3 linked regions of the Nothobranchius furzeri genome follow. The protein of the gene in region 2 purifies or fractionates together with the protein of the main gene of each other region. This does not show direct contact. Links are inferred from orthologs where the notes say so. Each region holds a gene or a part of one and is shown on either strand. Other genes may lie near its edges.

Evidence for each region.
Region 1: the proteins of h2ax (region 2) and gon4lb purify together in Homo sapiens (affinity purification with mass spectrometry; 3 studies listed by BioGRID and IntAct, counting the BioPlex papers as one, with this or other methods). This does not show direct contact. The link is inferred for Nothobranchius furzeri from reciprocal best matches to the Homo sapiens genes H2AX and GON4L.
Region 3: the proteins of h2ax (region 2) and wrap53 purify together in Homo sapiens (affinity purification with western blotting; 3 studies listed by BioGRID). This does not show direct contact. The link is inferred for Nothobranchius furzeri from reciprocal best matches to the Homo sapiens genes H2AX and WRAP53.

What each region holds. Positions count from the first base shown.
Region 1 is NC_091745.1:66,365,369-66,375,428, forward strand, and holds part of gon4lb (GON-4-like protein), read left to right. Parts: coding exon 1-131; intron 132-534; coding exon 535-621; intron 622-780; coding exon 781-967; intron 968-1,072; coding exon 1,073-1,223; intron 1,224-2,881; coding exon 2,882-3,032; intron 3,033-3,102; coding exon 3,103-3,219; intron 3,220-3,612; coding exon 3,613-4,659; intron 4,660-4,744; coding exon 4,745-4,973; intron 4,974-5,053; coding exon 5,054-5,211; intron 5,212-5,338; coding exon 5,339-5,536; intron 5,537-5,647; coding exon 5,648-5,791; intron 5,792-5,879; coding exon 5,880-6,176; intron 6,177-10,060. UniProt on the Homo sapiens protein: Has transcriptional repressor activity, probably as part of a complex with YY1, SIN3A and HDAC1. Required for B cell lymphopoiesis.
Region 2 is NC_091750.1:47,424,713-47,434,118, forward strand, and holds h2ax (histone H2AX), read left to right. Parts: upstream 1-4,259; 5' UTR 4,260-4,282; coding exon 4,283-4,789; 3' UTR 4,790-5,211; downstream 5,212-9,406. Other genes in the region: phospholipid transfer protein C2CD2L, read left to right, coding at 521-622, 906-1,039, 1,453-1,666, 1,945-2,198. UniProt on the Homo sapiens protein: Variant histone H2A which replaces conventional H2A in a subset of nucleosomes. Nucleosomes wrap and compact DNA into chromatin, limiting DNA accessibility to the cellular machineries which require DNA as a template.
Region 3 is NC_091742.1:83,806,944-83,817,003, reverse strand, and holds part of wrap53 (telomerase Cajal body protein 1), read left to right. Parts: coding exon 1-78; intron 79-221; coding exon 222-330; intron 331-3,697; coding exon 3,698-3,786; intron 3,787-4,878; coding exon 4,879-5,102; intron 5,103-6,348; coding exon 6,349-6,560; intron 6,561-6,645; coding exon 6,646-6,749; intron 6,750-8,844; coding exon 8,845-8,988; intron 8,989-9,096; coding exon 9,097-9,316; 3' UTR 9,317-10,060. UniProt on the Homo sapiens protein: RNA chaperone that plays a key role in telomere maintenance and RNA localization to Cajal bodies. Specifically recognizes and binds the Cajal body box (CAB box) present in both small Cajal body RNAs (scaRNAs) and telomerase RNA template component (TERC).

The DNA of each region.
Region 1 (10,060 bases), on a different chromosome or scaffold from region 2:
ACACCACCATCCACCTCCGAAGCCCAGCGGCCAACGCTGTTACCTCTGTGTTGGCGCTACCAGGTCAGAGCATCCCCGGCCTGCGTCTGGACCGCACCCAGAAACTGCAGCTGCAGCAGCAGGTGCAGCAGGTACATGATCTACCTCACCCTCTCCCATGCCCTCATGCAGGTGAATAAACAGTACTTCTAAATACATGATGGCGAAGCTCACCCAGCTGTGGGGAACTCTAATCCTCCAGAATCAGTTTCCCTCTTTGATCGTATGAAACCGTGCAATTCTGATTGGTTCTGGTTTCCAGTGACAATGCAGAGAAGAAAATAAAATAAGCATCATATCAAAAGAAACGTCTCTACCAAACCTAATAGGGAGCTGTTTTCATTGTTCTTTGGGGATCAATGAGCTCAGAACCTCCCTAGTAGAACATGTAATCCCAGAGTGGAAGTCTGCACCTAACTGACTATAAGGAATCTAATGTTCATCCCCCTGGACCTTCAGGTGAAAGCATAGACTAAATGTTACTGTACCTTTCAGCATGTACAGCTGCTGACTCAGGTTCACCTGCTGAGTCGTCCCATCGGCGCCCTGAACCATGAGGCCAGTCTGACCAAACGTTACCTGGTGAGTAAACAGCCCTACCTTTCCCTAAAGGTTTCTGCAAAGCGACATCATTCAGGTGTGAGCTTGCTGCAATCCTGAACCATTTTCACACGCCTGATTTCATGTTTGTTCTTCAGGGATCAGTCTGAAATCAGCACAAACTTCATTCTGTTTTCCCAGGAGGAGCTCCAACAGTTTGCCAGTTGCCGGGAGGAGATCCGTCTCCCTAGCAGTTTTAAAGTGTGTAACCTGCAGAGAGCACTGGATCTCCTGCAGGAGGTGGAGCGGAAAGAGGAGTCTCCTCGTGCTCTTTGTGTTCCTGCAGCTTTCAGACGCTTGCTGCCCATGATGACACTGCCCACCAGCAGTAAGAAGGCCCCTTTGTTTCAATTTTTTTCTATGAAATGTACATATTAGTGTGTATTTCAGTCCACTGTGTGCATCTGCAACTTTTGGTTCTGGTTGTGTTCAGGTCATGCCTTCCCACTGCTGCCTGCTGACACTGCCTGGCTTTTTGCCACACGATCCATCTTCCTGTACCCAGAACTACTTCCTGTCTGCAGCCTCGACCCTGCACTCCACAGCAAGCGTCACAGGAGTTTTTACACAGCAGGAGAAGATGGGTACAGAAACACACAGTTGGTCCGATAAGTGTTTTATTACAGCTGAGATCAGATGTAATTCTAAAGGTTTTCAGGTCATGTTTTTGCGTGGCAGCTGCTTAAATGGTTGTTAAAAAAGTACATTTTAGATAATTTCACAAATCTTTAGTTTAGGACTGGCAAACAGTTAAAACATTTAATTCGATTAATCACGGGCTTGTTATGGATTCATTCAGATTAATCACAATTAAAAATCATTCTTTTTTGTCTATTAATCTCATGTCATTTTGCATGAGCAAACAGACTCGAGAATAAAGGGACTAACATGTTTATTGAACATCTTGAACAAAAAGTCTGTTGAAATCCACTTGGCGATTTAGTCAGTTTGTCCGAGGTAAACTTACTGAGGTCTGTTTGCTCGCAGCATCCCTGACTAACGATTGTTTCCTGTTAATGTGGTGTTTTAAGCTGGAAGTGCTTTGGTGAAAAGAAAATTCCCTCCTGCACAATGTGCATGAGACTTGATCTGTTGACTGTTCTGTCTTTTTTTTTTATTCGCCCAAGTTTCCCATCAAGAGGGACAATGTGCTGTTTAGCATCTTCAATATTGAGTTGATTTGTTCTGCAGCCCGTCACTACCAGATCAACTGTTAACTCTGGTTGGACAAATTGTCCAAAATGTGAAAATAGAAACCCTTCTGGGATTTTGAGTCATTCTGTGCAGCAGTTGGTTTAATTAGTACAAAATTTTGACTCGGATTAATCATGATGATGGATTATTCTGCGCTAACATGTTAATTTGACAGCCGTACTAAGTTTAGATCACTTTACAAAAGGTTCCAATTCAGATCAACGATTTAATGCAGTGTATCTGAGAGTTGAGAGCATGCTTGTTGATGCAGACTAGAGATGGGATGTGAGCTGGAAGAAAAGCAGAAATTCAGGGTTGAGCTAGAAGATCAGGAAGTAGCTGAGATCAGTAAGGATGAAGTGAGGTATAGAAGAGGTGTCGATAGGGCTGGGCATTAGGGGCCAAAACTTCTATCTAGAATCTAGATAGATAGCTTTTCCCACTTCTTATCTTGTTGAGCAGGGATTCAGCCAGGTACTGTACATGCAATCAAAATACCGAAACCGGCTAAATCTGATAGCCTCAGGTGCACTACGGCTCAAGTTAACATCTCTCAATCCATCCACAAAAACACTTGCAGCAAATCACCAGGGACAAGGGTCTCACTAATCTACCCACAGCGATGATGACTCCGCTTTAAGCAATTTTTTTATGATCCCTTTTTTTTATGACATATTTGTATTAAACAGTTTCAAAGTCTAGGCTGAATTGTTATTAGTTTTTTTTTCGTAATCATGATTTTTGTATCAAAAAAACTTTCCGTTTCTCTGCATTGGTGGGCAGTAAGGCATTTCAGCATAACTTAGGGGGCGTTTAGCTGAAAAAGGTTGAGAAACCCTGATCTAGATGTTTTTCTTGCTGTAAAGGAAAGGGGGAAAAATGATATTCTAACTTTGTGACGTAAAATCATCCTCTACGCAGCATGGAGCTATGAAAGCTGTGAATAAACTGACTGGAATCTCTCACAGAGAAGATTCACAGTCTTTTCTGAGGTAGTTTGGCTGCTGTTCTGCACTAACCTTCATCCTCCCATCATGCTTTGCTGCAGGCTGATTGTGCTCGGTTTGAAGCATTTTGAAGGGACGATCCAGTCAGATCAGCTGATTAGCTCCTACCTTCTCTGTAAAAGTCGGTGGAACATCAGGAAACATATTCGAGAGATGAGTGGTTCAAGAGCACCGCGGGAGAGCGTTATTAAGGTGACGTCATCGTGAGTGACATCATCACGTCTGGATTTAATAGTGCTAACGTTCCCGCTTCTGTCTCCAGATGTTCATGACACAGGGAGTTGTCCCTTCACTTCCACTTGCCTGCAGCAGAGTTCACCCAGAAGACCAGCGCCCCCCTGTGGACAGAAATACTTCTAACATGCCGAACTGGCTCAAGGTCTGTGGACCTCCCTCAAACCAACTGGTTAACCAACCCTAACTTATCGGTTTACTAACCTATCAGCGTCCTTTTTAGCTTTTCCTTTATAAACAGATTTTAGGCTAAATTACAAGTTTTTCTGTTTTTATATTATTTTAGTTTTAACTATATTTAGACAGTTTTTGTGTTTGCATTCCCTGTTAAATAGGATTTTATTCACCTGGTTTATCAGTTATTATGAGAAACTAATGTGTCCCCTTACTAACTAATTATTACTAACTAACTCATCCATCATGTGTGAAAGGACCCATCTGTCACCTGGTGACTAATCTGGGTAACCTGTCAGTTCCCTGTGAACTAACTCCGAGTCAAAAGTCACTAACACGTCACCTTTGTGGCTCTCACCTGCAGAACAGTCAGCTGATCATCCAGAAGACTCGACTGGGTGGCTCTTACCCCCCCTCCCTGCCCCCGGGCTGTTCCCTCAGACTTCACCCCTATTATATCAATAAGTCCCAAAAGCCTCGGGCCACTCCCAAGCGCCTTTTCACCCTGGCCCACAATGCATCTCTGCTTCCCCTCGCCAAAGCCCCAGTGGACCAACAGGTGGAGCCAATCAGCCACTTGTCCCACCCGTCTCTTGGAGGCACTGTAATTCCGGAGCCCCCTGCTGTGTCAGAAGCCTTACCAGTGGCCCTGTCTCCAGTCTGTGGAAGTTTCCCATTGGTCGCTGTGCTTCCAGGCCCAGAACATCAGACTGCCAACCTTCCTGTTGGCCAGAAGAACGCCGTTCCTCTGCTCCTGCCTCTCACGTCCATGTCCAGCTCCATGACATCTCCCAATGCCCCTTGTTCTTCTGCTAAGGAGGAGCAAAGTTTTGTCCTCGTGCAAATGATGTGGACACCACCCGCACCCTGTTCTACCACCGTGTCCCAGGATGCACCAGGATGTGCGCTCCACAGAACAGTCAATGTGGAGCAGCCACGCTCCATATCTGGAAAGGAGGCGAATGTTGAAGGGGAGGAGAGCTCTGCATCATCACTGAGTCCACTTTCATCCTGCACAGGAGACAAAGAGGAGGAGCAGCAAATGGAGGAACAGGAGCAGCATTGCGTGGAGGGGACCAGCGTAATGGCTGTCAGCTTCAACGGGGGAACTGGGGGAGGCAAGGAGGGTGGAGAGGGAGAAAAGATGGAGGAAAAGGGAGGCCATGAAGAAGAGGAAACAGGTGGGGAAGGTGAGGAGGAGCAGAGTGAAGAGGATGGAGGAAGGGAGGAGGGAGGAGAGAGAGAAGAGGATGGAGACAAGGACCAGCAGGGTGAAGAGGATGAGGAGGATGAAGAAGAGGAAGAAGAAGAGGAGGAGGAGGACTTTGATGACCTCACACAAGATGAGGATGAGGAAGAGGCAATGTCATCAGCATCGGAGGAGTCGGTGCTGTCAGTTCCAGAGTTACAGGTAAGCAGGAAGCTGTCAGGTGAGCGATGATGTCATTCAGATTGAGTTTTTCTGACCTCAGTCAGTGGCGTCCTACGTCCCGCAGGAGACCATGAAGCAGCTGACGTGGCTGGCAGCGGAGCGGCGGCTGTGTGTGGACGGGGACTCTGAGGACGACCAGTCTCCAACCTCGCAGGAGGAGGAGGACGAGGAGGAGGATGGGGTGAAAGGTGAGGATGCGGGAGATGGGCAGAGCTTCAAGGCAGGCTTGGACGAGGAGACGCCATCTGGAGAAGGGACTCCCAGAGGACGAAGGTGTCCAGGACGCGGACGAGGTCAGCCTGTGTCCGATGATTTCCTTTTATTTTCTTCTGTAGCTTGTAGCAAAACCATTCTCTCGACTTCCTCTGTGCAGGTCGCAGCCGTCCTTTTCGTGGTCTGACAAGGACGCGTCAGGAGCGTTTCAGTAAAGACGCAGCCAAACTGCTGCTGCTGTACGACGAGAACATTCTGGAGAATGATCCGCTCAGAGAGAGTAAAGATATGGCGTTTGCTCAGAGTTACCTGAACCGGGTGAGACGAAAACACCAGAACCTGCACGTGTTCGTGCCATTCTGTGTCCGATTTCACTGAGCAGATGGAGGCAGGAGCAGATTTTCTCCAGCTGGATTGATTTTTTTGTTGTTGTTGTTGTTGACAGGTCCGTGAGGTGTTGCAGGATACACCCGAGCAGGTGGAGGAGTTTGTGTATCTGCTGAATAGGTTTGAGCAGGTGGGAGAAGGACAAGAAGTGACTCAACTCTTCAGAAAGCTGCGCTGCATCTTGGGAAGTCACACGGATCTCCTCAGAGACTTTGCAGCCTTCCTGCATCCCGAGCAGGCGCTGCAGTGTGGACTGGTGAGCAGAGGGAGCACACAGAGTTTTATGGGTCTGCAGGTGTTTGTAATCTCACCTCATGTCCTTCAGCGTGTCGGACAACCTTCTGATTTTTGAACATTTCCGGTGCAGTTTGAGGAGCAGCAGGCATTTGAACGCAGCCGGCGTTTTCTGCGACAGTTGGAGATCAGTTTTGGAGACAATCCATCACATTACCAGAAGATCATCAAAGCTCTACAAACTGGACCCGACATGAACGCTACCAGCATCCAGGAGGTCTGGCTGATTCATCCACTTTTAGTCCAACTTGCCGAAACTCATGATTTGCTTATTGGTGTTAACTTGAAGCTGTCTCTGCCTTCAGCTGAAAACCCAGATGGGGACCCTCCTAAAAGGCCACACCCACTTACAAGCAGAATTCTGGGTATTTTTTGATGATCTCCGCCCAACCTCAGCGTGTCCCGGGCAGTTTGAAGAAGCCCACTGGCTGGAGGAAGGAGAAGGTGGTGAGGGCAATGGCCTTGTGTCAGGAAACGGAGCCAGTGGCAGCTTTGAGGAGGTGACGCTGCCAGAGCTCGAAGAAGAGGAAGAGGGGCACAAGGTCCAACCAATGAGAAGCCGGCGTCAGAGGAGGAAGATGGATTCTCACAGAGGCTACAAGGTATAGAGGAAAGCTTTCTTTTAAAAGGTGTTCGTTTTCAGTTTTAAGGTCGTCGTCTTCCTCCGCTTATCCGTCCGGGTCGCGGGGGCAGCATCCCAGCTAGGGAGCTCCAGACCGTCCTCTCCCCGGCCTTGTCCACCAGCTCCTCCGGCAGAATCCCAAGGCGTTCCCGGACCAGATTGGAGATGTAACCTCTCCAACGTGTCCTGGGTCGACCCGGGGGCCTCCTGCCAGCAGGACATGCCCGAAAACCCCCCCCAGGGAGGCGTCCAGGAGGCATCCTGACCAGATGCCCAAACCACCTCAACTGACTCCTTTCGATCTGGAGGAGCAGCGGTTCTACTCCGAGTCCCTCCCGAATGCCCAAGCTCCTCACCCTATCTCTAAGGCTGAGCCCGGCCACCCTACGGAGGAAACTCATTTTGTCCGCTTGTATCCACGATCTCGTTCTTTCGGTCATTACCCAAAGCTCATGACCATAGGTGAGGATTGGGACGTAGATCGACCGGTAAATTGAGAGCCTGGCTTTCTGGCTCAGCTCCCTCTTCACCACGACAGATCGGTTCAGCGTCCGCATCACTGCAGACGCCGAACCAATCCGCCTGTCGATCTCCCGATCCCTCCTACCCTCACTCGTGAACAAGACCCCGAGATACTTAAACTCCTCCACTTGAGGTAGGACCTCTCCCCTGACGCGGAGTTGGCAAGCCACCCTTTTCCGGTCGAGAACCATGGTCTCAGATTTGGAGGTGCTGATCCTCATCCCAGCCGCTTCACACTCGGCCGCGAACCTACCCAGCAAGAGCTGAAGGTCAGAGCTGGATGAAGCTAGGAGGACCACATCATCCGCAAAAAGCAGAGACGAGATTCTCCTGCCACCAAACTCGACACACTCCACACCACGGCTGCGCCTAGAAATTCTGTCCATAAAAGTGATGAACAGAACCGGTGACAAAGGGCAGCCCTGGTGGAGTCCAACCCTCACCGGGAACAGGTCCGACTTACTACCGGCTATGCGGACCAAACTCACGCTCCTCTGGTAAAGGGACTGAATGGCCCTTAACAGAAAGCCACCCACCCCATAATCCTGGAGCGTCCCCCACAGGGTGCCCCTGGGGACACGGTCATAAGCCTTCTCCAAATCCACAAAACACATGTGGATTGGTTGGGCAAACTCCTATTCTCCCTCCATCACCCTTGCAAGGGTATAGAGCTGGTCCACAGTTCCACGGCCAGGACGAAAACCACATTGCTCCTCCTCTATCTGAGATTCAACTATCGATCGGACCCTCCTCTCCAGTACCTTGGAGTAGACCTTTCCAGGGAGGCTGAGGAGTGTGATCCCCCTATAGTTGGAACACACCCTCAGGTCACCCTTCTTAAAGATGGGGACCACCACCCCGGTCTGCCACTCCACAGGAACTGCCCCCGATGACCACGCAGTGTTGTAGAGACGTGTCAACCATGACAGCCCTACAACATCCATAGCCTTGAGATACCCAGGACGAACCTCGTCCGCCCCCGGGGCTCCGCCGCTGTGTAGTTGTTTGACTACCTCAGCAACTTCTGCCCCTGAGATTGGACAGTCCATCCCCAGGCCTCCCAGCTCTGGTTCCTCCTTGGAATGCGCATAGGTGGGATTGAGGAGCTCCTCAAAGTATTCCTTCCACCATCCTACTATAGCCCCAGTTGACGCCAGCAGCTCCCCATCCCCACTGTAAACAGTGTGAGCGAGTTGCTGCCTTCCTCTCCTGAGGCGCCGGACAGTTTGCCAGAACTTCTTTGGAGCCGATAGACAGTTTTTCTCCATGGCCTCACCAAACTCCTCCCACGCCCGAGATTTTGCCCCGGCAACTGCCACTGCTGCACCCCGCTTGGCTATCCGGTACCTGTCTGCTGCCTCCGGAGACCCACAGACCAGCCACGCCCTGTAGGCCTCCTTCTTCAGCCTGACGGCTCCCCGAACCTCTGGTGTCCACCAGCGGGTACGGGGGTTGCCACCACGACTGGCACCGGCCACCTTACGACCACAGCTAGCAACAGCCGCCTCAACAATCTTAGAGTGGAACAAGGCCCACTTGGAGTCAATGTCCCCCACTGCTCTCGGGACGTGGTCAAAGCTCTGCCGGAGGTGGGAGTTGAAGACCGTCTTGACAGGTTCTTCTGCCAGGCGTTCCCAGCAGACCCTCACTATGCGTTTGGTTCTGCCAGGTCTATGTGGCATCTTCCCCTGCCATCTGATCCAACTCACCACCAGGTGGTGATCAGTTGACAGCTCCGCTCCTCTCTTCACTCGGGTGTCCAAAACATACGGCCGCAGGTCAGATGATACGACTACAAAGTCTATCATCGACCTGTGACCTAGGCTGCCCTGGTACCAAGTGTACCGGTGGGCATCCTTATGTTCGAACATGGTGTTTGTTATGGCCAAACTGCTGCTTGCACAGAAGTCCAATAACGAAACACCACTCGAGTTCAGATCAGGCGGGCCGTTCCTCCCAATCACACCCCTCCAGGTCAAGCTGTCATTGCCCACGTGAGCATTGAAGTCCCCCAGCAGGACAATGGAGTCCCCTGATGGAGCACTATCTAGCACTCGTCCCAGGGACTCCAAAAAGGGTGGGTACTCTGAACTGATATTTGTCCCATAAGCACAAACAACAGTCAGGACCCGTTCCCCGACCCGAAGGCGCAGGGAAGCTACCCTCTCGTCCCCCGGGGTAAACCCCAACACACAAGCAGAGAGTCTTTGGGCTAACAAAAAGCCAACCCCAGCCCTCCGCCTCTCACCCGGAGCAACTCCAGCAAAGGAGAGTGTCCAACCCCCCTCAAGGACTTGGGTTCCAGAGCCAATGCAATGTGTCGAGGTGAGTCCGACTATATCTAGCCGGTACCGCTCAACCTCTGCCACAAGCTCCTGCTCCTTTCCCGCCAGCGAGGTGACGTTCCATGTCCCAAAAACCAGTTTTCTTGTCCGGGGATCGGACCGCCAAGGCTCCCGCCTCGGTCTGCCACCCGATCCACATTGCACCGGACCCTTCATGTTCCTCCTGCGGGTGGTGGGTCCACAGTTGGATGAGCCCATGTATCCGGTTCGGGCTGGGCCCGGCCGGGCCCCATGGGCGAAAGCCCGGCCACCAGGCGCTCGCTCACGGGCCCCAACCCCAGGCCTGGCTCCAGGGTGGGACCCCGGTAACCCTCCGGGCCGGGTACTCCGACTCTTTGAATTTACATCCATGAAAGATCCTGTGAAGTTTTAAGGTAATATTAAAAACGGCTACAGGAGGAGCCTGGATTACAGTAATGGTAAAATGTTTCTCACTTATCCCTCTACTGGTTACTGGAAAGCAGAATTACATCTGTGTCCTTGGGCAAGATGCTTAACCCATCTGGCCTGCTAGTGGTAGTCGGAGGGACCGGTGGCACCAGTGTTCAGCAGGCCTCGCCTGAATCAGTGCACCCCAGGGCAGCTGTGGCTACATCGTAGCTCATCTCCACCAGCGTGTGGATGTGTGTGTGAATGGGTGAATGACTGATTGTGTTTTAAGCACCTTGGGGGGTTGTAGAACCCTAAGAAGGTGCTATACAAATACAGGCCATTTACCTTTGTTGTAAATAACACTGCCGCAGCATCAAAGTGTAGGCCACGCCGATATTTGCCCTGGTTTTAGCTCTTTGCTTCGCCTCCAAAGACATTACTCTTACTTTTACTTCCATGCTCTGCCATGAGTCTTCTTTTATTAACAGTCGGCGAACTGAAAAAGCTAACTGCTAGCCTTTATACGAGCTACATGCACAGTAAACTCCACCATGACCATTGCTCTACCTGGACACACTGATGGAGGAAATACTGTGTATATAGTAGTTTAACGGGTGAATGATCA
Region 2 (9,406 bases):
TCCTCCAGTTCACACACAGCAGAGGACAACTTTCTGATGTTGTCTGCTGTTAGTATGTTTATCAAACGCTGGATGATTGAAGTTTTCAGTGCCTATGTAAAAGGCGCCGTTTTTGTCTGCCAGGGTGGGATTTTCACGGCATAATCTGCATCACGTCTCTGTGCGTTCATTGTTTGTTTGAAGCCAGCCGACCTCCTGCAGCCTCTTCTCCGCAAATACTCTTTTCTTTTGCGGTTCCGACTCAGTCTGACGTTTTTTTGGAGGCGGAGGAACACCAAAATAATTACTTAAAGGACATTTTTAAAATGCTCCAGAAATGTCTTTCTTCCTCCACAAAATCTTTGGTGCGCAAATGCGTGCTGCCGCTTTTTTTCAAGTGCACATTGTTTATTTTGACAGCGCATGCGCACCTGCGGACCACTTGTGTACACACCTGTTAATAATGCACTAAGTAACGTTAATAAAAGGACCCTTGTTGTATTAAGTGTTAGAGTGATGTCAAATGTTCATGCCGTTTCAGGTGACTCGCCCTTGTCTTCTTCATCCAAAGTGGAGGTGAATGAAAGCAAAGCCACCGTGGTGTCTGATGACCGGGACGGCAGCGGCAGCCCCAACCCGAGTAGTGAGTCCAGACTAAAAACCCGACATTGTTTCACAAAACAGATGCAAAGCAGGATAAGCGGCGAGCAGCCGTGTAACCTGAGTGGAGAGGAAAGCACTATTAGGCACCCTTAATTCCCTCTGAGCGAGTGCTGCTCTACCCAAACCCACAGAATACAAAAAAACAATAAAATATGCTTTTTTTAAAGGTTGTGAAGTGTCAGAAAGCTCAGCTTGATCGTGTTTTTGAGCAACTGGATCGAACAAGCAGCCCTGATTTCCATATTTGTGTTTTTGCTGCACAGAGAGCAGTCGGCTCTCTAACGGCCTGGATCCCGTCGCGGAGACGGCCATTCGGCAGCTGACAGAGTCGGCGTCCAAAACAGCAAGGAAGACCCCAACAAAACGGAGCACACTAATCATATCCGGAGTGTCAAAGGTCAGAGGACGCTGTTCCTTCCAGAATTACACATGAAACATCTCTACCTTTTAGCGATGAGCCGTTATGATTCTTTGTAGCCCTTTGAGATGTTGGAAGTGAAGTCTGATAAGGATATAAAATACTCACATGGACGCAGGCGAGAGGAGTGTGATCTAAATTTAGTCTCGCATCACAGCGCCCTACTACACTAGTAGAACGAGTCTACTGACCTGATTGTTGGAAGAAAATTTGTAGAAACCCCGTGTGTGTCTGTGTGTGTGTGTGTGAAGTTGGTGCCCTTGACACAGAAGCCACTGGAAGCGTCTGCTTTTATTAGTAAAACTAAAGAAACTGATTATCATGAGAGCAGACCTTAAACAAGCTTCCTGTCTTCATACATAATAAATGATTTGATGTTTGTTGCATATCAGGTTCCACTCACTGAGGATCACTGTGCGTTGTCAAGCGGCTACGCAGCATCCATGGATGCAGCCATGCACGGCAACCATTACAGGGGAGGTCATCACCAGGACCCGGATGAAACCACTCCCTCTGAGGTGTCGGAGCGTCCGTCTGTGGACGATGTAGAGTCTGATACTGGTTCTGCTGGTGCCTTGGAAACCCGCAGCCTGAAGGATCATAAAGGTAATAATGTTTGCTCATTGTTGACATAGAGCAGGAATTAAAAACTCCATGCAGATGTTTGCTAAATGTATTAATTTAAATAGATTTATTTTGCATATTGTTTTTTGTCAATAAAGCATAATTTCAAAGTGTCACTACAAACTGAACAGCGTTACATAACTTCTAAGGATCACTGTGCTGATGCTGCCCCCTGGTGGTTTTCACAATGATTGCTTTACATTGGATAAATGGTGATGTCATATAATCAGTAGATAAAGTGATGTACCTGCTTTCTGCAGTGGGCTTTCTCCAGAGCGGCTCGAAGCTTTTGTTTCGTAGAAAGCATCGAGAGAAGGAGCCTTGCCTCAGCCAGTCCCACGAGGACATCTCCAACATTGGCAACAACTTCGCTGCTCCAGCTGCAAGCAGCATCCGTAAAAAGTCTGGCAGCTTCTCGCGGCGTCTCATCAAACGCTTCTCCTTACGCTCGTCTGGCAAGTCAAAAGGCAAAGCTGCTTCTACGAACGGAGGAGCAAGTTCAGTGGAGAACTGATCGATATCACGAAGGTCGTTGTAGCTCAAAAGGAGCTGCTGGAATCGCTGAACACACACTGTGGGCTGTCACCCACACTTCTAAGGATGCCGCTGGGAGGGATCCTGTCTAGAAACAAGGAATTGCACCTTCAACACAGAAGTCCTGTGACAGCAATGCTGGATCTCAAATGTGATGATGAACTCTTTTTGTTTGTTTGAGGAGACAAAATCGTGCTGCTTGGTGAGAAGGAAGTCACTACGATGAAACACTCCTAACACACACTAGAGGGTTTGATCAGAATCGGTGGTGGATATACTCAGACTAATGATGTAAATGCACTTTGGACTGATGCTTTATTTGTTTTTTTACAGCACATGTAAAATTTTGTTGGGTGTAAAATGATAATTTATTATTCTGTGTGATTTATAAACCATATTATTTATTTCATCAACCCAAAACAAGTCATCCTCGCTGCATTGCACTGTAAAATAGTGACGTTGGCATTCTTTTCTATGCAAATTTAATTTTGAAGACCTTTAAGTAAGTTAATATAACTTTCTCTGTTAAAATGTGTTGTTTATTTGTGATTACTTAAAAATTACTTTTAAAATTCATGTTTAATCGCATAAAAAGCAGAGAAGATGGTGTATTTATCGTAATTTTGTGTGATAATTATTTTCTGTGGAATATCATAACTATGGTTTGATTTTGATAGTTCAGTCAGCAGGCATCTCGTGCTGGGCAATAAGCTTAATCTGTAAAAAATAAAAAATAAAAATAAAGAAAGACTATCAACTTTAAAAATAAACATGTCGGTAAACGATTTACAATGATCAGGTATAGCTGAGTTGCAGCAGCTCAGTGCTTCACTAAGAAAACATATTTTACAACAAACAGTCACACATTTGATTAATTTATATTACACAAACAGCAAAATGTTGTATTTAGGAGAATTATTGTCATAAACATATTTAATTCAATCCACTTGGACTGTCAGGGTTCAGCTCAGGCAATTAGAACCAAGTTTAAGAGTTTTTTATACGTGGAACTGCTCTCAGGGCTGGAAAAAAAATATTAACAACTAGACACACAAAATGATAATTGCTGCAGCAATCAGAACCAATTGTAAAACTGTACATATGATTTTTTTTCTCTTATAAAAACCTCATTTGAAATAACTGCAATAATTTTGGGACCTCATAACAACCAAAATCAATTATTCAATTACTGTGTTTTTAAATAAATATTTAATCTGATTAAATATTATCAAATGGACATGCCAAACATTAAGCCAGTACTGTATGGACAATACTGTCAAACTAATTAAAAATGCAGAACAGATCAAAACCACTCTCCTGCCTGAAAGCACACATACATATACATGTAGTGATATGTGAATGTAATTTGAAAAAGTGGCTGTAAAATTCAAGATGTGAGGCCCCAGTTATATTTTGAAAATGTAATTTATTGCAAATAAATTATTTTTCAACCCTAATGTTGATTGTGCACTTAGTTAATATGGTCTTGTTTTTGTAAAAGGTATATATTTTTACCAGTAAAATGGTTATTTGCTGAGCTGCCTAGGATTAGCTTCGTCTCAGTGGGGGAGGATGGTGGAATTTTCCATGTCTTGCTGGCCCTCCCTCACACAGTTTGTGCAGTGTAAGCTTACTTCAAGCACATTTTGCGCATTTTAATAAATTGTCCTCATGTATAATTGTGATACATGTGTCACCACATTTCGATCTTGGTCAAAAACCCTGACAACATTATTCAATACTTTACTGTATCAATACTCATTAAATCGCTTGAAATGTTCACTTTTCGTTCGGTAACGCGCCAAAACGTTTAAAGCTGGAGGGAAGACCGTCTATTGGTCTTCCTTCTGACACGTGACCCGCGTGAAACTGGGTGAACAAATAAACAACCAATTACCTTTGTCTATTGGTCAGACTCCTCGATGATTGGTGTAGAGCCAGAGCAGCCAAACCAATAGTTACTGGCTTCCTGGAACGTTTGATCTCCTAAAGCCAAACAAATGAGAGCTTCTCTCTCTAGCATCCAATAGTAGTTTGGGGCGGGACTAACGTGGAGGCTTATATATGGCTCGGCGAGCCTTTTTTCTTTCTACTTTGCGATTTTCTGCATTGAAATCATATTCGTGGAAGAGATCTTCAACAATGTCTGGAAGAGGTAAAACCGGTGCTAAGGCCCGCGCCAAGGCGAAGACCCGCAGCTCCCGCGCCGGTCTGCAGTTCCCTGTGGGCCGTGTTCACCGTCTCCTCCGCAAGGGAAACTATGCTGAGAGAGTGGGCGCCGGAGCTCCTGTTTACCTGGCTGCGGTCCTCGAGTATCTCACCGCCGAGATCCTGGAGCTGGCTGGCAACGCCGCTCGGGACAACAAGAAGACCCGAATCATTCCTCGCCACCTTCAGCTGGCTGTCCGTAACGACGAGGAGCTGAACAAACTGCTCGGTGGCGTGACCATCGCTCAGGGAGGCGTGTTGCCTAACATCCAGGCCGTCCTCCTGCCCAAGAAGGCCGGCCAGGCAGCACCCAGCTCCGGCAAGGCGGGAAAGAAGGCGTCCTCTCAGTCTCAGGAGTATTAGCTTCACGGCTAACCACAATGAACCCAAAGGCCCTTTTAAGGGCCAACCACCGACCGAAAGGGCAACTTTTCTAGTTTATCAATGTCGCTCAAAGCATATTTTGTTTGGGTTATTGAAGGCTTGTGTTAAGGTAATTTCTTTCAGGCTAGATCCTTTGCTAAGAAACAAGATTAGGCTAAATTTCCCCAGTTAGCCTGAAATGTCACTTGAAAATCTTCATCCTGAGTTTATTTTTCATCCTTGAATGTTATTTAAAGTAGCAACTCTTCTGCAACTGACCAGATCCAATGCTAGCTGCACACACTGGCAACTAAACATTTGTTATGCATTGCACTCAGGTTCTCAGGGCTGCTGTATGTTTTCATCATGTGAAACGCCTGTTCACAACAAAACGGTTTCATTAAAAGTTCTGCAAGACAACATCTGTCACCTGGAAACGTGTTTGTGTGGTGGTGAAGTCTCAAATGAAATGTACTAACGGCTGTCTATTCAAGCAGCTCCAGGTGTTTCCTTATTGCACATGGAGAAAAACACGCGAGCAGATAGTGTTAACATTCATGGCTTCCTCTGTGGTTTCTTTTACACGTTTTTCAGTTCTTGTCCCTGTACCACTGACTCAACTTACTGGACTGAGGGGTGATGAGCAGTCCGATAAAAACTAACTTCAGAATCCCTGCAGAAAAAATAATAGTACTTGCAAAGTAGTAAATTGCCTGTATTTGTATAGCCCTTTTACCCCAACCCCCCCCACACACACACACACACACACACACACAGTCATTCACCCATGCACGCACATTCACGCTGGTGGTGATGGAGATCCGGTGTAGCTACAGCTGCCCTAGGGAACACTGGCAGAGGCGAGGCCTGTTGTACACTGGTTCCTCCGACCACCACCAGACAAGGTGGGTTAGTCGTCTTGCCCGTGGACACAACAGCAGCATTCTCTGACAGCAAGGGTCAAACCTACAACCTTCTGATTACTGGACATCCCACTCTACCTCCTGAGCTGCTGCTGCGTGTCCAAATCATCACTTTCAAACATTAAAAGAAAAATCTGGAAGCTGTGTATGAAGACATGAGGAGTGTTATGTTTGCTGAGGTGAAGGTGGGGATGTTGTTCACTGGTTTTACCACCAGAGGTTGACTGCTTCCTGTGAGATCTGCACGTGCTTCATTCTTCCCCATGTCTTCTTCCATACTCTTACTCCACATGAAAAGTCTACGACAGATGTGTGAAAGCTTCATCGTGTCCACACAGCACATCTGACAGCAATAGTTTATACGTAGGTGTCCCAACAGATGTGGTTAATTCAGTTTACCTGAATTCATGCACCTTTCAGCCGGAGGGTCTGGTCCAGATTTCATTTTTGGTGATGGTGTTTGACGATGAATGACAGCAAAATCTGAGACATTTCCATTTGCTTTGGCTGTTTTATTGATGGCAAAAGCAGCAAACTGAACCAATTACCCGGGCCTTGACAACGTGTCCAACACCAACATCCGGCCTCAGAAAGCCAGATGGTTAACCCAGACCTTAAATTCACCGCTCTGCCTGCTTTCAGCTGTTTGTGGCTAAAGGGTTCATGTGGAAGCAGCATCCAGGACAAACCAAATTTAGTCAAACTTACATTCTGTAAAATGTGCTTCTGGGGAAATCTAGAGATCTAGTGTTTTTTAGTGATAAACACAGCTGTGTTTCGACTTAAACGGGGAAAGGAATGAAAAGTGGGAAGAGAAGGAGGAAAAAAGCTGTGGAGAGGGTTGGACCTGGCAGGGCGATGCACCAACACATTCACTTTGAAAGCAACTCTGCAGGCGTGCAGAGGGAACGTTACGATTCCATCCCGGAGACAACCGGGGGAATTTTCTCATGAAGTTTTGGGAGCGTGCCTTGCCTTGTGTTTTTAATTTTGGAGGGAATCCATCCATGGAAAAGAAAATGTTCTTTGCCAGCTTTGGTAATTAGAAACAGAGCATTTGTGTGTGCTGTGGAGAGATACAACAGAAACATTGTTTATGCAGATCTAACATGACCCAGTTCTGATTTTCTCCCAGCGGACTTACTTTGATACGGGAGCAGGTGGAAGTCACCTGGTCAGATTTGTGAAGGATGCTTTTCTTTTTGCGTGAGAGCGATGGCTGCCTGTGGAGCTTAGGCGTCTAGCAATGTGATTTGGTGTTTGCCTGGAGGGAGTGTGAGTTGCGCATGAACCAGGGTGAGTGTGTTTTTAACTTTCTAAAGAAGAGAAACACATTCTTGTGTTACCTGTGGCTAGATGTGACAGAGGGATGAGTGGGCTCAATGGAAGATGCTGAATCTTTTCATCTTTGAGTTATTCGGAAATCAGTTACTATCTTCTGGGCTTCTCTGCTTAGGCTACTGCCCCCGCAACCCCACTCCGGACAAGCAGCTGAAAACGGATGGATGGATGCTACTATCCTTTCTCCTACTAAAAGATCTCAGCTTTGTGTGTATGTTTAAATTGGCATCAGTTCTTTAGACTGGTCGGTGTTTGTCCAACAGGCTGGATTTGAGAGGAAGTGCTGACTGAGAGCTGTTAAGTGAATAGGTGCCACCTAATCTGGTTCTCATCAGCCTCAAGACAGCCTGAATGTGACTTATCTTCACTCAGTGATGAGTAATTGTTCCCCTTGTCCTTCCACCTGTCTGCTGTTATCTCCAGCCATCCTGCAGGAACCTGGGGGTCTCAGCGTCTCTGTTCAACTGAGAAGTGCAGGTAGAAGAAGAAGAAAATATCATTTCTATAGCGCCTCTCAAGATAAAAATCACGAGGCGCTTCACAAAAACAAGAAATGTAAAAATATAAAAATGAATTTAGAAAATGGTTAAAAATACATTTAAAATGAGCAAAAAATAGACAATTGTGATTAAAAAACAAAATGTTAAGGACGAGAGAGTGAATGGGAAAGAGGGAAATCAGTGGATCCTGAGGAAGGTGGAATAGGTGGGGAGAGCAGAATAACGAGAGAGTGGTGAAGAAGGTCATACAAAACCAGCCTGAACAGGTGAGTCTTCAGCTGCCTTTTAAAGGAGACCACTGAGTCCACTGATCTCAGGCTCAGAGGGAGAGAGTTCGAGAGTCTGGGGGCCACCGCAGCAAATGATCTGTCACCTTTGGTCTTTAGCCTGGTGCTGCACAAGCAGTAGGCTTTGATCACTGGAACTCAGGGACCTGCTGGGGGTGTAGAGACTAAGAAGATCACCAATGTAAGATGGTGCTTGTCCATGTAAGGCCCTACAGACCAGAACCAGGATCTTGAAATGAACCCTGAAGTTGACTGGCAGCCAGTGAAGCTGGAGGATTAGCGGGGTGATGTGGGTGTGTTTGGAGGACTTGGTCAGAAGCCGAGCACAGGCATTCTGAACCACCTGTAGACGGTTCATGGAGGTTCTGCTCAGACACGTGAAAAGAGAGTTACAGTAGTCTAAGCGTGAGGAGATGAAGGTGTGGATAACTGTCTCAAGTTCAGAGCGGGACAGAATGGGACTCAGCTTAGCAAAGTTCCTGAGATGGAAGAAGGAAGAGCGAACAAGAGAACTGACATGAGAATCCAGGGTGAGAGCTGGGTCAAAGGTCACGCCAAGATTCCCGATGGAAGGTTTGGTGTGAGAAGCAAGCTGACCAAGAGAGTCTCTGACTTTGGGAACCAGCTTGTCTGGGGCACAGATGAGGATCTCAGTCTTATCTTCATTCAGCTGAAGAAAGCTCCCAGCCATCCAGGTTTTGATAGAGTCTAAGCAGGTGTGTAACAGCTGCAGCTTAGACATCTCATGGGGCTTAAAGGAGATGTACAGTTGGATGTCATCTGCATAAAGATGGTAGGAGATTCCTTTGAAGGAGCTCAGGATGTGCTGAAGAGGAAGCAGATAGAGGAGGAAGAGCAGAGGCCCCAGCACAGAACCTTGTGCAACACCATGGGTAAGGTAGGTGGTGGAGGACCTAAACTTGGAGACAGCCACAGAAAAGGAACACTCAGAAAGATAAGAGGAGAACCACTCCAGAGCAGTTCCTGATAGGCCCACCCAGTCTCTCAGGTACCACAAAATGTTCGATCAGAGATTTCTTACCTACTGTGGGTTCTTTTCGAGTCACCATTTGTGAGCGTGCACCATTAAAGCTGTCAACCACAGAGCGCACCGTTGCAAAAACTCCACAAATGTTGGAAGTTTGCAATAATTTAATAATTAAATCCGTCTTTGTCGTTCATTTCTTAGAGCTATAGTGATTGTTCACTGATTAAATGTTTTTTTTTCTATCAATGCAAATGGAACTAAAACTGTTAAAATCTCCAACTGGACTGGGGTTTTTCATGTAAAGAATAAAAACAAAGGTTCAAGCTCTCAGGGAAAGGCAACAGGGGTGTGGGTTAATTAGCTACTAGACTAACCAGCTAATTAAACAATATTTACTGAAGAAGGGATGGAAACTAAATGTGATTCTCCAGAAAAACCAAGTAAAACAGAAAAACAGGAAGCGACGAGCCAAACATCAGGACAGTAATCACAAGGGACTGTAACTGTAGCTGTGAGGTCACAATGTTGAAGTAAACATTCATTTGAAAACACACAAATTTAGAGCGAATAAAAGTGAT
Region 3 (10,060 bases), on a different chromosome or scaffold from region 2:
CCAGAACCCCACCATGCTGACGGGCTCCTGGAACGAGTACTCCAACTTTCCAGAGAATTACCTCAAAGGCTGCAAATGGTAACCTCACTGGTGTTTAATTACTAAATCACACGAGTAAAAGTTCATATTTGTATAAAATCGGGTTTATTTTGGTTGTAGCTGCATTATCCCTGAGCTTTGTTCTCTGCTTGTGTCATCCCCCCCTCCTCTTCCATCATCAGGGCTCCTGATGGCTCCTGTATCCTAACGAACAGCGCAGACAACGTCCTCCGTGTTTACAACCTCCCGCCAGAGATCTACAGCTACAGCTGGGACCTCCTCCCTGAGATGGTGAGCTGGGTTTCTGGGTAGAGAGCTTTAACTTCTGCAGAAGCCTGTTGAACACCTGCTGTTTTACATCAGGTGTGCTGGAGCAAAGTCGCATCTAACACATGGAGAGCAGCAGCTGTCGAGGGCTAAGATTGGTCAAACCCTTGAGGAAATGTGTGGCAGAAAGCAGTTCTTACATCTCAGTAGAAACACGGAGGCTGTGCTTTGGTAGTTTAGGATCGCTGAGCAGGAATAATTGACATGTAATCCATTTTCTTCCATCCCAGAGACTTCAGATCCTGTATTATAAGGGTGGAAAACGTATTTCTCTACCAGCCCTTTTGGGTTTTACTCTTATTAAAAATCTGTTATGTTGTCTTTAAACTGCTGCTTGAAAAATTTACAACCCTTCATCTCTTTTAAGGATTTGGTTTCCTGGCAAGGACGGGATGTAAATCATCAGCTTTTCCTGCCCAGAAAATGATTTATGACGTGTCAGCTGATGGTTATTTAGGGGAAAAGATCCAATAATACGAAACCTTAAATGGATCATTAACTCCACATAAAACACCAAAAAACTCTGGACTCTTGGTTCTGTGATTGTATTAAAGACGTTTCTAACTGGTCTCCAGTTTGACCAGTCGAGTTCTGACTGTGGTGCGTTTAAGGAAGCAGATTTCCATAATGTGCTTCTCTGTGAGTTACCTATGAGCAACTTAGCTTATCTGATTATTAGGCATGTTCCGATCCGATCATGTGATTGGACCTGATTTCCGAGCACGTTTTTTAATGGATCGGAATCGGGTTGGAAAAATTGGATTTAACCAAGTAAAAAAAACAAACATTCATCCATCCGTCCATCCATTTTCTTATGATTATCCGGAGTCGGGTCGCAGGGGCAGTAGCCTAAGTCAAGAGGCCTAGACCTCCCTCTTCCCAGCCATTTAGTCCAGCTCCTCCGGGGGAATCCCAAGGCGCAAGGAGCAGCGGGTCTACTCCGAGCCCCTCCCGGATGACCGAGCTTCTCGCCCTATCTCTAAAGGAGAGATATAACAAACATCACTTTTTAAATTCATCCCAAGAAAGAGATTTTCAATTAAAAAAAAACAATGAATAGTTTCAATTCAACAAGTTCCTTTTACATCAGTATTTTTGTTCCACAGACAACAATGCTGTAAAGTCCCACAATTTAAGGTAGCCCAGGAATTCATGCTCCATAACATGTAGCAGTTAGCTAACACAGAGCATACTCGTCGTCTCAAGAGACAAAAAATGTCTGTAATTTGGATGATAACACTGACAGCAAAGGGAGTGTAATAGACACGTGTAATATGTGAAAACTGGGCATTTAGCGTGGTGGAAAAGGTAGTGCTGCCACCTTAAAAAACCGAACCCTTCTCAGTTTGCTGCAACAAACACGAATAAAAGATATGTTAAGAAGAAAAAATAGTCTACGGACTGCAAAAAATGGGACGATATTTATCACATTGGATGAGTGTTTGTGGTTTTGCACTCTTGTTGAGTCACGGTATGATCTGCTTTCTCTTAACTTTACATCACTTCAGCACTACAGGTGTTTTGTAGAAATGGGTGACCCTACTGCTGCCGTCACCGTGCCGTCGCTCAAAACAGCCACACTGAGTAAACAATTTGAAATATGAGCAACAAGGCTACTTTTACATATATTCTTAATATTAGCAAGTTTCTTAATAATGTACTTCATAAACAAGGGATAATTTGTGGCAGATAAACATAAGAAATGACATAAATAAAGAAAAGCATTAATGATTAAAAAAGAAAAAACTTGGAGAACGCTAGTGTGTTCTCCATTTTTCTAAATGCATTTCTAAAGTATCAGACTGGGACTCGGTATCAGCAGATTCTTAAAATCAAATGACTCTGAATCAGATTGGGAGCAAAAACCATGATCATGACGTCTCTACTGATTGTCCTTCATTTATTGAGTTTGAGTTGATTTTTGAATCTATATTAAGGTTTTTATGCTGTTGTCGACAAGCTGTTGTTGATTTTTTTCCTCCAAACTGAGCGTTAAACATTTGTAGTAGGACTTTAATAACAGTTAATAATGAAATAGTGCAATGTTATTTTTTTTCTTCATTAGAATAATGTGTAAATAGGAAAACAACTTCATCCCGGACAAGCCCCCACTTCTTACCCTGGCTGATCAGCAATGACAAAAACTGGGATAAATGCAGGATTGAAGGAAAAAACATCTTCTTCACAATGAAGATATGTCAAAAAATGAAAAATAATACTTTGTGACTCTAGCGCTGGCTTTCCGCCATACTCGTAAGCAGTGTGTGACTGTTGGTGTGCTTTGGACACATCTCTGTTGAGTTTTGAGTTGCTTTTATGCCCCAGGTCTATTTTCTTTATGCTATGCTTTCACCCGAGTCAAGATCAGTAGTTCAGATTGGGCCAGACAGGAAGTGAAATACAGAGCAGTGTAGCATCTGACAGATTTCAAAATAAAAGTCACAAGCACATTTCCAGTTGCTTTACTAGTTAAAAAAAAACATCTCATTACCTGTACTTCTGTAGCTGAGGTAAAAGAACAGAAAATGAACCAGACCTTTTGGATACTTGCTGCCATCTTTATGCTCACTGGAACTAAACAGCTGGAATCACACGCAACTCTCCAGACATTTGTGATCTCATAGGATCAGCTGCACGAAACACTTTTGCTGCGACTAAGCATCAGAAACGTTTCTGGTAGGAATGGACACGCTACTGATGTTGTGGTTAAAACGTGTCTTAACAATACACACCCAGTGGAAAACCCGGGTGTGTTCTGGTGCCTCAGACCAGCCCATCTGTGACAAGCTGCTGAAACATAGAAGTAGAATAATAGATCAGCCTCACACACTGACTGTTTACCAGTGTGCTGGGCTTTAGGATGGTTGTTTTCTGAAGCTAAGAAGAAACACATCTGTTTCCTTCAAAGTGAGCTTTAGATAAATAATGTGTCTGTGATGCCCTCAGAACTGAGATTTTATTTGTTTAGCACATTTGAATAAAACAACTGAAGAGCAGCAAAGAACCTTAGAGTCGAGGCAGACGAGAACAGTGCAGCATAAAATAGAAACAACAAAAGCAGAATAAAATATACGTACAGAACCCATGCTCTTTCAGTCAGAACCCAGAGAGAGGTGTAACCTAAACTTTAAACATGTAGGACTGCTTTACTTTTTAAAGCTCAGAACCTTTGTTGTAATTTTCCTTACAAATAAATAAACAGCAACACCAGCCTTCTGATTTAGGTGTTTTTAATATTTAAATGCGTTTTCTGAGATTACATCCAAAGATGATTCAGCACTCGCTGCTCCTGTGACCCTATGTTCCTGTTCTTGTCTCCCTCCTGTTCCAGAGTCCGGTTCTGAGGATGGCTGAAGGAGACACCGTCTACGACTACTGCTGGTACCCCAAGATGAGCTCGCTGGAGCCGGACACGTGTTTGTGAGTGAAGTCCAGAACTTTTCTTTAATATTATTAGTTTCTCTGACCTCATTTCATCTTTGCTTATGTCATAAAAGTTGATTTTTGTGGGAAAGCGTATCTGATTGGTCCGGGAGACACCCAAACATCCACTCAGGTCTCTGATCTGAGCGTCTTTTTGTTGTAATGGTGACATCAGTGGTTCTGGTTCAGCATCACCACCCGTCGCTGGAGATCATATGTGGTAAAAGGACCGCTCTAATGAGCCGGGGTCAAGCTGCCAGTAGCTTTCAGCTCGTTTCCTCCTCGTCCCTCGGCTCCCGCCGTGTCTCAGTAACAACCTCCATCCACCCTGCGGCGGTTTCCTCTGATCAAACTCCGGCTCTGATGCCGCTCCACTGTGGCAACCCCAACCAGGGAGTGGGGGGCAGAGCTGGAGCCGGGAGATGGAGAGATGAAAGCTCAGTAAACAGGATCAACAGACGTCTCATGTGGATGGAGTGGAGAGGTGTTGATGCCAGTCATGCTGAGGCGCGGAGCGGCCAGCAGGAGGCGACATGCTCATCCTCAGATCATCTCATACAGGTGGTGGGATGTTGCAAGGGTTTATTAAAGACATCAAAAACCACGTCAGCTTCTCTCATCAGCATCCCTCCACCCTCCTTGAGCTCAGCCGAAGCTTCGTGTTTCCCCCTGTAGAGCGGGAATATTGGTCTCTGTTACGGCTCGGTTAAGTCGCCCTGACTTCCAGGAAGCGCTCCAAGCTAGCAGCAGTCTAGCATTATAATTGGACTTTTCCCAGCTCTGGAATAAAGCCTCGGCATGGTGGGGGGGGGGGGGGGGGGGGCATGATTTTGGCATAACTGAACAGCAGGAGCTAATTTCCTTTGTCTGTTTAAGCCACACCGATGTTTAGTGTCGGGTGCTCAGTAACCGGACTTAAACAGGCTCAGACTCCAGCCCTGATTCATAAGGACCAGCTCTCAGCTGGTGGGTTTGTTTTGATGCCCTGCTACGCTCAGGCAGGTGGGGAACATTTATCTGTCAGAAGTTGTTTCAAAAGGGATGCTGACATTTTGTTTTACCAGCTCCTTCTGCTTTATTCCTCCCCAGTCTGGCCAGCAGTAGCCGTGACAACCCCGTGCACGTGTGGGACGCCTTCTACGGCGACGTGAGAGCCAGCTTCCGACCCTACAACCATCTGGATGAGCTGACGGCAGCGCACTCGCTCTGCTTCTCGCCAGACGGAGCTCAGCTCTACTGCGGATTTGAGAAAATGGTGCGGGTGTTTTACACGGAGCGTCCCGGGAGAGACTGCGAGGAGCGGCCCACCGTAGGTCAGTCTCCTGGGTTTTAGTCTAAACTGTGTAAACGGGCTGTCACGTACACAGCCGATGCCATTTAATGCTCTCATGTGTGTAATTACTTTAATATTATTTCCAGTAAAGTGCAAGTGACTTACAGGCAAATAAAGTTCACGGAGAACAAAACTTCTGACAGATAAAGGCTGAGTTACGGAGTCAGCTGTCTGGTCTTTTCAGTGAGCTGCCGCGGCCCGACAGCCCACCGTCTCGTCTCCTTGAAACAAATCAACACAACGACATTTTATTATGTTTCTCAGACAAAAACTAAGGAGACGTGTGTTGGCTGTGATGAATTCCTTCTGTCTGTCACACATTTCTAACCGTTTCTGTTTGCTCAAAGTGTTTTTAGTTGTTCTGACATTAACAGAGCTGCTCTGCGTGCACCGACTGTTACTTCTTTTTGTTATTGGAGTTCCTACGCCTGAATCAAGAATAATAACTTTTGAAAATGTCACCAAGTGAACTTTTATTTTTCTTCTTAAAGGTTGCTTTTTGTTCTCTTGAGTTTTGTCATTATTTATAGCATCAATGATAAAAGAAAGAAGTGACGGAAGTACAAAACGTGTAGTTTATGTAAAACATATTCAGCGTGATGCGAAACTTTACTGATTACATCGTAGCTGCAGACGTCCGAACTTCACCCGCCTTCAGATTCCTTTTTTACGTGGAAACTTCTCCAGCAGGCTCAGTGTTTATCAGGAGAGAGAGGACGGTAATAACACAACAGAAGTAAGTTAGCTAGCATTCAGAGAGTGACTTTTAAATGTAAACAACTTGTTTCTGAAAGATCATCAACCATTTTAAATCATCACGCTAACATGCTAGCATTTATGCTAACTTACTTTCCCTCCTACTGGTTGAAAGCGGAATTACAACTATCGTAAACAACACTGCCACAGCCTGCTGTAGCTAGCGCTAACAACAAGCTAACGCTTACATGAACCAGCTGATACTAAATAAGCCACAAAGTAAAAATATCCACACCAAATTGTAATAATTACACATAAACTACATACCAAATATAATCTTATCAATCAGATGGACCCCTAGGTCCCCTCAGGTTTAGGTTGTGGAGTCCGAGCAGAACAAAACAGTGGATTTAAACTTATAAACGTGTAATACATGGTGTCAGGAGGGATGTGAGAGCGGCTGAAGCAGCTCGTTTCAGTGCAGCTGAACAGAAAGTTGTGTAAATCATTAATCGTGTCTCTGTTGTCAGTGAAGAAACGAGGCCAGAGCGGCATCATCTCCTGCTTCAGCTTCAGCCCGTGTCTGTCCGTTTACGCCTGTGGCTCCTACTCCCGCTGCGCCGGGATCTACTCCTGTCAGGACGGCACCCTGCTGGCTCTACTGCCCACCCACCACCACGGAGGCCTCACCCATCTCCTCTTCTCCCCCGACGGAAACTACTTGTACACCGGCGGGCGCAAGGTCACGGGTCTCGGAAGCATCGGGGCACGAGCCTGTGTCCCAGAATCTGTGTAACAAACAGCTGTCCTTTTGTGTTTTTATGTAGGATCCAGAGATTCTGTGTTGGGACCTGAGAGAGCCGGGGAAAGTTGTGTTTTCCCTGAAGAGGAACGTGGCCACCAACCAACGAATCTACTTTGATCTGGACCGGTGAGTGGACTTGTGCTCTGTTTGTGGAAGGTAGGATGTTACAGGCTAGTTCTAGAGAGTTGCACTGTTCTCTTTGTCTGGTTTGTGATGCCAACAGGTTAGCAGTTACACACACACACACACACGCACACACACACACACACACACACACACTCCTCAGGTGTATGAAAAGGACAGAGACACCTGTTTTGGGGATTCGTTGGGTGTCACAGGCCACGGATTGAAGGAAGCAGGAAGGATGCCTGCTCCCGGAGGCATCACTTAACCCTTTAAGTGCCAAAATCGCAGAATTGCGACAAGCAGCAATGTTGGATTTAAAGCCACAGCAGCAGAATTGAGCCCTCGTGCAGTTAATACGTTACGCTGCGGGGTGGCAGACACCTGTAACTTCAATCCAAGCAGCATTTGCGGGTGTGTTACTATTGAAACTTTTCGAGTATTTAGCGCTTGAACCCCGCCCACCAGTCGCAGAGTCGCGGAGGTTGTAAGAGCGAGCGAGTGGTAGAGGAAAAAACAATGCTGAGAGGAATGTTCAGTGCTGACGAAGCTCTTCGTCTAGTACTGGCAGATTCGGATGATCTGCGGTCTTATAGCGAGACGAAAAGCGTGGCTTCAGAGCGCAGCAACAGGAAGTCTGTCAGCGATGACGCGGTTACACAAGCAGCCCATCCAGCCCTTACCTTGTCCGATGTCCCGCACCACCTCCGTGGGGAGGGATGTGGTGGTGGTGATCGGGCCGGTGAAAACTACACTGGTGATCGATTCAGCCCCAGGGGTGTAAACCGCGGGAATTGCAGCAGGAGGGGGAGGAACCGCGGGAAAAAAAAAAATCACTGCTAGCAGGGGGGTGGCCCAACACAGCCTCAGTGACGATAATAATGATGATGGCTGGGTTAGTTTGGGAGAAGAGGAACAGTATTCCAAGTGGATCAGGCATTTTGATGAGCCAGTTGGATAATGTGGAGACAGGGATCTGTCAAATTCAGAACATGTTGATTTTCTGTCAGTTTTTTTGGATGAGGAATTCTGGACCCTCATCACAACTGAAACTAACCGATATGCTCACCGGTATTTAGAGAGGGAGGAACTGAAATCTAGCTCCAGATATAATGACTGGTACGATGTAACTGTCCCAGAAATTAAAGCGTTCATTGACATTCAGTTCTGCATGGGGCTTGTGGAAAAGCATGAGATTGTGGACTATATATATATATATATATATATATATATATATATATATATATAATTATATATAATTATAAACAAAATAAACCAAAGAAGGGATGAGTGAAATGTGTTCATGACGCTGAAGCACCAAAATCAGTGTTCTTGATTGATATGCAGTAAACATAACAAAATACCAATAAAGTAATAAATATTATATATATACATACATAGTTATATATGTCTACATAGGAATATGTCTATATGTATCATAAACAATAACAACACTAAGAAAATAAGACAAAAACATACAAAAAAAATCTGCAAATGTGATGCAATCCAATATGGCTGCCACCTGATGACGTCACAATATGCATATTATGTGAGTGAATTAGTTCCTATCACAGAATTTGGCTCATACAGAAGATTTTTCTAATTTACAATATTCCTCTATCTCTAACCTGATTTAAGCTACAAGCTCTTTAAATAGTGATATAAAAAATTCATATTTTACTGAAAAAAACTAAAGGGTTAAATCAAGTTTACCATCTATGGCACCACTTGTCCCTATTAGCCAAAATCAGATAGGTGTGTGTGTGTGTGTGTGTGTGTGTGTGTGTGTGTGCGTGTGTGTGTGTGACCTCGTGGGGCAGGCATGTCCAAAGTGTGGCTCGGGGGCTGTTTACGGCCCTTAGAGTGATTCCATGTGCCTCTAACTGCATCTTTAGAAAGTGGATTTCTATCTTTCCAGCAAGCTGCTGGTGGGAGATCCAGTTTTTGACATGTTAAGGTGCAGTGTGTAAGAAAATGATCCAAAAACAGAAACATTTCTGCTGGAAGGAAGGTTGTCCTGGATCATCTTTCTTTCTCAGCCAGCTGGGAAGGTTGTCAGTTTTCCCCCCTTTCAAAATAAAGGGTGTGTGTGTGTCAGGTCTGGCAGGTACCTCCTCAGTGGGGACACAGAAGGAGTGGTGTCCGTCTGGGACAGTCGGACGGCGCCCCCTGATGGTAACGAAGAGCTGCTGCAGCCCGAGCTGAGATTCCATGCCCACTGGGACTGCACCAACGGCGTCAGGTAGAACCACTTTACACACACCTGGAGAGATTTCCGAGCATTCTCTGCAACAAAACTCAAGTCTTTAACTGGTTTTCTTTGACACAACCAGAATTGTCTTCTCCTCAGTGTTCATCCCTTCATGCCCCTGGTGGCGACGTCCAGCGGTCAGCGTCAGTTCCCGTGGCCCGGTGACAGCGATGGCGACTCTGCCTCAGAAGCCGAGGGAGACGGAGCTGTGACGCCGCAGCAGGAGAGCCGGCAAGACAACGCTCTGACCCTGTGGTGGGCTGGACCACTGGGGCCTCCTGCTGAGGAGAACCAGAACGCAGCGGTCGTGGAGGCCTGAAACCGTTCCGCCAGAGCACCATCCCCTTTAGTTTACTTTGAGTTTAGCATTAGAGCTTCAGTGGGTCATTTCTAAACAGAGTTCTCCCATTTTGGCTCTGATAATGGGAGTGGGGCCCAGTTTAGTTTTAGATCCATCCCGGAGAAAACTACGAGAAGCTCCCTCATAAGTCTAGTTTACACATTTGCTTTGGTTGATTAATCTGCTGCCTGAACCGTCTGAATCTGCCGTAAACGCTTTTGTGTGTGTGTTGTGTATCCAGTGTGTGTGTGTGTGTGTGTTGGCTGTAACGCTGCCCTGGAGACTCCGCTCTGCTAAAATAACAAGAAGTGCCATTTGTTCCCCAGCTTTGCTTGTGTAAACACAGGCTCTCCCGTTTTTTTTACCGGGTCTTTTTAAAGCATTCGCGCCCACAGATGTATATTTTTGTAAAGCCAGGATGAGTTAGTGAATGTTTCCTGTGAAAGCAGCGAGCTTAAACGCTGCTACGCGCTGTGTGTGTTGTTTTTTCTACTGTTTGTATTGTGCGACTGGTGATGGAGCAACAAGACTGATGATGTCTAGAGAACTATGTTGCCAGTAGGTGGGGTGGCTTTGCTTTGGAGCATCCGACACAAACCTTTTATTTTAATGTACTTAGAAACTAAAACTTTTCCAAAAGCCTCAGCAATCGTTGGAACTCATATTGGTTGCCAAGTGATATAATGTCCCATAAGGGTGATCTACGCTCCAACAGGAAGTGTT